2 linked regions of the Daphnia pulex genome follow. The protein of the gene in region 1 interacts with the protein of each later gene in a pairwise test. Links are inferred from orthologs where the notes say so. Each region holds a gene or a part of one and is shown in the gene's direction. Other genes may lie near its edges.

What was found. The genes of interacting proteins can lie anywhere in the genome.
Region 2: the proteins of protein sprint-like (region 1) and vascular endothelial growth factor receptor 1-like interact in a two-hybrid assay, tested with the Drosophila melanogaster proteins (2 studies listed by BioGRID). The link is inferred for Daphnia pulex from reciprocal best matches to the Drosophila melanogaster genes spri and Pvr.

The regions. Positions count from the first base shown.
Region 1 is NC_060023.1:10,103,529-10,107,555, reverse strand, and holds the start of protein sprint-like, read left to right. Parts: upstream 1-1,221; 5' UTR 1,222-1,750; coding exon 1,751-1,918; intron 1,919-3,693; coding exon 3,694-4,027. UniProt on the Drosophila melanogaster protein: Potential Ras effector protein. May function as a guanine nucleotide exchange (GEF), by exchanging bound GDP for free GTP.
Region 2 is NC_060028.1:2,875,315-2,879,518, reverse strand, and holds the start of vascular endothelial growth factor receptor 1-like, read left to right. Parts: upstream 1-1,404; 5' UTR 1,405-2,059; coding exon 2,060-2,141; intron 2,142-2,516; coding exon 2,517-2,644; intron 2,645-2,718; coding exon 2,719-2,923; intron 2,924-3,100; exon of another isoform or gene 3,101-3,103; coding exon 3,104-3,243; intron 3,244-3,496; coding exon 3,497-3,668; intron 3,669-4,055; coding exon of another isoform or gene 4,056-4,204.

The DNA.
Region 1 (4,027 bases):
GTGCATTCTCCTTTCTTATCTTTCTCCTCCTTTTTTCTTCGATTACCTACAGGGTATAAGATGCTGTCACGTGACCTAGTGCTCCTGGCAAACCGATGATGATGACCAGTTGTTATAACTATTACGAAAGAAAAAATGTTATTTCTCTCTCTTTAAAACAATCTTTCCCTTCAAATTGCATCTATACAGACGAAATTATGTTTCTCTCTCTCGTTTTCTATTTTTCTCCCTTCTAAATTTCTTAATGCCGAGTGTGGTGTCGATTCATTTCACATCCAGAAACGAATCGAAAATGTTTTTGTTTCATTTTGTGTTGTTGATCGAGCGATACCGAATTGTTTTCAATCGGACCGCGGGACTCGGGTGGTCTGGAGAAAGAAGAAGAAAAAGAAGTTCACTACCGATTCACTACACTATACCAACCCCTTGTTCCATATACATAGAATGTTGTACTATAGATTGAAAAAAACAAAAATTGATTTATGGATTTATCACTGAAATACAAGAAAAGGAATTGTTGTTTTTTCTTCTTCGTGTTGGACAAAATTTGACTTGATCATTTCCACAAAAAAAAAGATGTTTGAGTCTAAAAAAAGAAGTCGTGACTTGGTTTCCAGCTGATCGTTCGTCCATCAGGTGATTCATGGTTCTGAATTTCTAAACCCGGAACTGGAACAGAATGAAATCAGATGTGAATCAAAAAGAAGATGGCGGTCATGCAGGAAGATAAATCTTGTTTCATTCACGAAAACACGGCTTTTTATAGATAGCCGCTGGAATGATATGGACTCGATAGAGAAAAAAAAACACGTGAGTGAAAGAATACGAGAGATTGTTGTTGTTGTTGCTGCACCTGTTTGAGTGTGGAGAAAAGGGTTCGTGGATGACCGATGAGAATGAGAGACAGGTGAGAGAAAACGAAACAACCAACGGCTGACACAAAGAAAACGATCACGACTCACAACATTGGACGAGCGATTCATTTATTCAGTTGAATTTAGCACGAGTTGGTACCCACACGCTCCAATCAGAACGGCGATCGAGCTCACCATTTTCACGCTCCAGTTACACCTAGCTCACCGATTTCTTCCACACGTATAATCACGAGCTTTTTTTGGGGGTGTTATCTTTTACACCATTGTTTAATCATTCTTTACGACCGTGCGATATTTACGACCCAGGTTTATTTCGCCATTGTTTTTATCAATTTTTCCATCATTTGTTCATGTTGTCTCACAGAAAACTCTCTCGAGTTTCTATTTTCCTCCGCTAGGTGGCTGCACGATAGCAGACGAAACATCTGTCATGCCCTTTTTTGATAATTTCGTCGTTCCCCCCTTTGGGTAGATCGTAGAGTAGCGTATGAGATATTTCCTGTGTGCTGTGCCGCGAGCCAGTCAGCGATGAACTCAAGTCGTGCTCAGTCGTCGAATTAAAAACTCGTGTTGAATTTCCCCCACGCCGTTTGTTGGCTCAGGGGCCTACACGTTTCTCTCTCTGTGTGTGTGTTGTTTTGCATTCCCCAATCGACACACATTTGCACAACCGATGGATATCTAAAACAACAAGAATCGAAATCATCGTTTTGTGTGTTGGCAGACTGGAGGGGAGAGATATTTGTGTGCTCCACCATTAGCAAGAAGAAGAAGGGGAGAATTGTTGGTGTGTGTGTGTACGATTGAGACCAACAGAGGAAAAAGAGTTGGTTACAGAGAGCTAAGAGAAAGCCAAACACGGCCGTGTGTGGACTATGTCATGTGCATCCAGCAGTCCGGTTGGTTTCGTCGCGTCGCATTTCGCTGCTGTTGCACAAAATTCATCTCCTCCTCATCCAGTTGTTGTTGCTAGTCCGATGAAATCGGCAGATGATGGAACAACTCCGTCACCTGCTCCTCGCTCATCTTCTTCCTACATGCTGGTAATTTCATTATTACCATCAAATTTTATTCTTTTTCTAGACAAAGTTCGCCGTTTTGGCACTGGAATCTTAGTCGGGGCTCATATAGTTATTAGGCCCACACACCCACAGACTTATTTTCGTCTGCAGACTCCCCCCCTTCCTACACAGTTTTTCGACCCTCCGGAATTGTGGAGAGACACACACACGTGAAACCCAGTTGTAGTGGCGTCAAATGTGAAACCGGATGGGTTTTTTCTTCTCTGCTAATCGTGATTGAGTCACACACACACACTCGTCGGGAGATGAAATTCCATCTCTAATGAAGTATAAGGGGGGGAATTTTCGACGAAAGAGAAGGTTTCTTTCCATCCCGTCATTTCCGCAGCCTCAGGCCAAACTGTTTCCACTCTTCTTCTTCTTGTTCATTATTTCTTCTTCAGTTCCCCCGTTTCTTACAACTTTCTCGAAACCACGTCGACAAAACAACACGCGAGCACTCCCGCGTGTGTGTTATTGTGCGTGGAGGTCGCCCGTCAAAAAATACCTTCCATCCCCCCCCCCCCTTTTTAGAAAGGAGCAGCTCCAGCAGCAGCCGGATGCAATTGGCTGCTCCATTGTTGTGTCGCCCGTTGTCTCGACCGCTGGTACACATTTCGCACGCTCTTTGTCTTTTTTTTATTTTCCAACAAAATGACATGTCGAAATACTTTTACTTAAAAGTGCCAATTGAACTAATCCGGCGGAGCTTTTCTTCCCCTCCGGAAATTTCAGTTATTTTGTACTAAATCATATCCTCTTCCGGTTGAGAGATACCTGAGTTGGTGGTAACCTCATCCGCTTTTTCGCCCTACTGAGAATTCCGTTTACAAGTTTCCCCTTTTGGGTTCGAGCCAGCGGGTCCCCTTTTCTTATTTTATTTTAAAAAAGAAGAGGAATCTCTTTATTGATATCTTGTGGCCTTGCCTTTTGCGTTTTTTTAGTTGTTGGTGCTCGTACACACTCTTGAAACGAGCCTCTCTCTCTAGCTGGGAAATTTATATATCTATGCCCCGCCGGCGGCTAAACGATCATACTGAATAAACATGTTGATATGTTTTTCTTCTTTTTTTTCTTTCCCCATCTTTTACCGGGGGCCCGCCCTTGTCCATTTTTGGGCATACTCTCCATCTCTTGTGTGTACTATATCTTTTTCTATTCAACTTTGTGTTGTTATGTGATATGACCCTCCACTTTCATCTCTTCACACAATTCGATTCGAATCTCGTCGATGGATTTTCTTCTTCTTTTTGTATTTTTAGAATTGAAACGCGCGTTTCTATTTAGAAATCTTGAGCGCAGTTAAATTCCTTTCGGAGATAAAATTTTTTAACAGACTACAATAAAAAGTAGGAGAAAATGGAATGTTATTTTCTAAATTCTCTGGTGGTTGGGTTGGCATTCCTCCTCCGTTTTTCTTTTTATTAAATTTCCGATAAAAATGGCCGACTTTTGTTTTCATCAGCGGATCGATCCAGCCAACACCCTTTTTTTTACTACCCCGGGGTTAATTGATTTGGGGTAATGATGATACGAAACTCGGCCATCCCATCAGACAACGCCCAAAAAATCGATGTCACTGTTGTACCGAATGAAATGTCATTAACATCATCGTGATTTCCGCCGGATGTTGAGAATTGCGTGTGGGGGGAAAAGAGAGAGAGACTCTGATGAGTCATACCGTCATGGCCTTGACCTGGAAAACCGTTTAATTCCCAACTAAATTCTGATTTTATTTCTTTTTTTCTCAATTGCAGATGTTGAACAGCTTCGCTTCGGATCTGGATTCCATCCTGAGTGATTTGAGTACCAGCCCAACGTTACGTGGAAGTCAAGAACTGGTTGGCGGATCGCCGGATTCGTCAACCACGGCCGAATTAACAGACCGACCGACAGTCGAGGGCAGCAGCAGCAACAGCAGTCACACGACTTCCTGCCCCGATTTGCCCGGCATCTCACCACCCTGCGGCGAGGATGTGGTCGACTCGTCTGATATTCCACTACTCGAAAGGCTCATCCGAAGTCATCCCATCTGGTATTTGCCCAACATCCAGCGAGTAGCGGCTGCCCAGCTCCTTCAAAATCAGGAAC
Region 2 (4,204 bases), on another chromosome or scaffold:
CGAATTTGAAATTTGTTTGGCTAGTAGACTAGTTGATATTAGCAATTAGCTATACGATATTTTAATTGGTTAGAAATGGTACATAATTTATATACGCACTTTAAATAATATAAAATCATTTTTGTATTCAAACATTTTTTAGTATTACATTATTGTAAGTTTGTAACTCAATTAAACTGCCAATATTTTGCCTTTCAATTTTCCTGTGTTTCGGAAATGGTAGTTCACAAATATTAAACGATTTTAGGTATGATATTTTCGAAACACTACTTTATGCATTATACACCGGTTTCTATACTCACAAATTGAACAAACACACCGACTGGTAAATTCTGTATTGATTTAGTCAACTGCATGCTGAAATAGTATGCGCATTTCAATTTTGTCAATTAACGATCCATGTTACTGGTTTACTCTCTTCACTCGAAGCTATGTCGAAGTGAAAAGTTTTGTAGTTGTCAATGCTGTAGTATATACGTTGAGTAAAAAAAGGCCTAAATAAATTTGCGACTTCTAATGACTATCTGTTGCAATTTGTCGTGATCTATCATTACTTGTCCTGCTATGAACTTAGGTAATAAAATAATTATTTCATGAATACGGTGGGTCTAAACTTCGGTGGGCAGGAACCAAATGCATGATTTTTATTTTTTTTATGAGATTACACTCATCAAGAGATTTCATGTCTCAATTGTCATTGTCTTAATGTCAAGATAAAATCAACGAACACTGATGGTCAGTTGCTCTCTAATCCTTCGCAAGGACCGCCCTTTTTTTCAAAATTGTCAGCCTACTTAGGATTGAGCTTGTCAAATAGTAGTGGCCGGTCAGGGTTTTACGAGAAAAGCGCACACGTTGGAAAGTGATTTGTGTGCTCAGTTTACTCCGTTTATCTAGTGACACAGCAAAATTTAATACGAGTTACTATTGTGCCTTCAGTAAACGTTTATTTAAAATTTTCCAAAGAACTATTAGGTCGTTCCGTCAGTTTTAGAGTTGGTTGTTAGCAGCTGCACCCAGATGCCCTACAATTACGAGTACACGAAAGGCCCATGAAAACAGCGTATAATATTCTATGTATTTAAGTCAACTGTACTTTTCTATCCACGGTAGGAGCGTCCGTTAATGATTCGAAATTGATTACCGCCTGGCAACAAGAGTGACGATACGTTATTGTGAAAGCGAGAAAAGTGGTTTTCTCAACAAACCAATTTTCATACGAAAAAAGTAAAGCTGATAAATTTTCCAACTTTCGAGTCATCTAGCGATAAATAAATAAACGAATTCCGAGGTTTTCTCTCGACCACACAAATATACTGTGCTGCTGGCCTCGCCCACTCCGCCCTGTCCCTACGGGCTTCTCACCAATAATATATACAACCGGGCCTTTACTTTTCCTAACCTACATGTTTGTGTATACACTGTGAAGCTGGAATCAACAGGCAGCAGCAGCAGCAGTTTGAGCCTCGTGAGATTTTCTAGTGTGAACTATTCCGCGTTTGCGCCGTTTTTTCACGAACTGTATCATTTTTTTGAAAACTTGTTTTTCGGCGGTTGTGACCTTAAAACTCTTGCGTCCTTATCAGCGATTCGAGTTCGACTTGTTAAAAACAAATTCTACGTTGTTGTGGTGTGCGGGGACTGTGCGCAGTTGAATCAAAACGACCTGAGCGATCGTGATGTTTGGTGACTAAAAGGGTGTGTCGAATTGTGTCACATTAACCATTGTTATTAAGTCTGCGGTGCTTTTTTTTTAGTGTCAGATTTGTTTCCGTGCATTTCGACATGAGGCGATGACGTCAAAGCCGTGCTCACCTTCCACATAGAACCAGAGGGAAAAGGGAGAGCCGAGTGTTTTTTGGGGAAGTTGGAAAACAAAACTGCCCTCAAGCAAAAGAGAAATTATCATTTTCTCTTTCGCGTTATAGTGACATGGCCATCAATTGACGTGCGAGTTTGCTCAACACAAAAAAAAACTTTTAAAATCGGCGTTTCGCTTTGGTGCCACTGTTTTGGACCAACGGCGAACGTGACCCTGCAAATAAGTAGTGAGAATCTCATGTCGCATGACGGTGAAATGTTTGTTCAACGAAACTTTCGTCATTCAATTCTGGTAGCCGTTCTTGCCTTCGCCGGCTTAGGTACGTATATGTTATTACGAGATTTGGTTGTACATATTATTCGTTGGATGTTGTTTCAACATCAGGGCGGTTGGCTGCCTGTTGGGATTTGATATCAATGTGTCGACGGGATGTGGGACTACCACACCACTAAACTTGCACCGATAAAACCTGAGGCGTCTTCTAGCACTGATAAGACGACTGTGTGCAACTGATCTAGCAACAATATACATATGCGCAGATTGTTTGTCTGTTGTCTAAATTATTTAATATATCTCGGATGGAAATTAGAACTCTTGTTTTAACTGTTTTAATCTTTTCGATCGGTTTATTCTCCAATGATGAACTTGTTACCAACTGATTTCGATAACAATTGATTTTTTCCATCATTTTTAGTTGTGTCAGAGTTTCCGGCTCCTCGACTGCTCCCGCCTGGTGATGAACAGATCTATCAAAGTGGCGGCACTTTTCGACTGACGTGCGAAGCTCCCAGGCCTGTAGAATGGAAATTACCAGTCTTATCGGTGATTATTTGAATCTTGTTAGACCCTACTGTAGATATGTAGTGTTATAACTGAAATTGATATGTGTTTTTTAGCCTCATTTGGAAACGAGTTCCCATGACGGAACTAATGTCACCGAAGAAATTATCTCCCCAGCAACGGATGGTTATGAATATCGCTCTTCGTTAGAAATCAAAAGCGCATCAATCTTGAATACGGGATATTACATCTGTCATTACAAAGGAAATGCCAACATAGATGATCCGCTACTGGCGGTAAAAACTTACGTTTACGTTGAAGGTAGGGTATTCGTTATCTATGTTGTTGCTTGTATGTATAGCATGGCTGCATGGCCAAGTAAAATAGTAATAATAACTAAATAACAATGAAATGAATTGTAAAAGATGATTTAGGTCTTGAGGTTAATCTTGCTCTTACATGTTGATTATGAGTTTATTAACAACTTTTGTTCTTGGACAGATGAAACATTTTTGATTGTTAACGTTGGAGATGAGGGAATTGTCACCGTTGTAGCCCACCAGTCCAGCCGGGAAGTTATTCCATGCAAACCTACCAGTCCCAAGGTGGAACTAACACTTTTTGATCCCAATGGATTGGAGGTAACAATTCAGTTTAGTAATATCTATCGAATATGCTGTAGAAAAAGAAGGGGGTTATTTTCATCCGCGCTTTAATAATGATTGGCTGAAAGTCGGGTTAGATGCTTTGGTCCATTTAGTAGTGGTCGTAGTGATGGCTTGTATCATTCATCGCATAGTCTTGGGGCTGTTTGCTTGTCTTGTTATACATGTTTATACGTAGATTGTTCTGTTGTAAGTCTTGACTATGTCACCGTTCATCGTTTCCCAACAGATTAACCCACAGACAGATCCTGATTTATGGTCCTACAATCCGCACGAAGGATTCATCGTCAGTGAGGTGGCGGTGGATATGTCCGGCATGTATCAATGCACAGCTGTGTACAGGCGAAACGGAGCCAGTTTTCCCTCGCATGAAACGATTACTTACGTTGTATCGGTTCAACGTATGTTGCTCAATTCATTATTTATATTTTTCATTTATATCTATCTATCTCTCTATGTGTGTAATCACACCTTGGTGATTGGCTTATTTCACGCTTGTTGCTTCTCGGCTTTTTGAAGGGGCTTTCATAATTTAATAGTTTGGAACGGATGCATGGTGATAAATAGATTGCAAGATTTAAGCAGCAGACTAACGTTCACCGATAAGGCTTGATCGTTCTAAACATTTTTTAAAATATTTTAACTGTTCATGGGTAGTACTAATTAGAGATATTTATGTTACACTGCTATATGAGTTGAGAATTTGATTATGTATTCGTCAATACGAACCCGGAAGAGGAATTCTATATTACATGTGTGTGTGGGATGTGTGGGGTGATGTGTTACAGGTCGAGCTGGAAGACAGCCAATGGTCCTACGACCCACACGAGGGCTTTACCATCAATAACCCTTCGTTGGTGCACGATCACGGCTACTACGAATGCCTGGCTAGGACCAACAACAATAAGAACCAAACAGTCTCCTACTTCCTAATAGT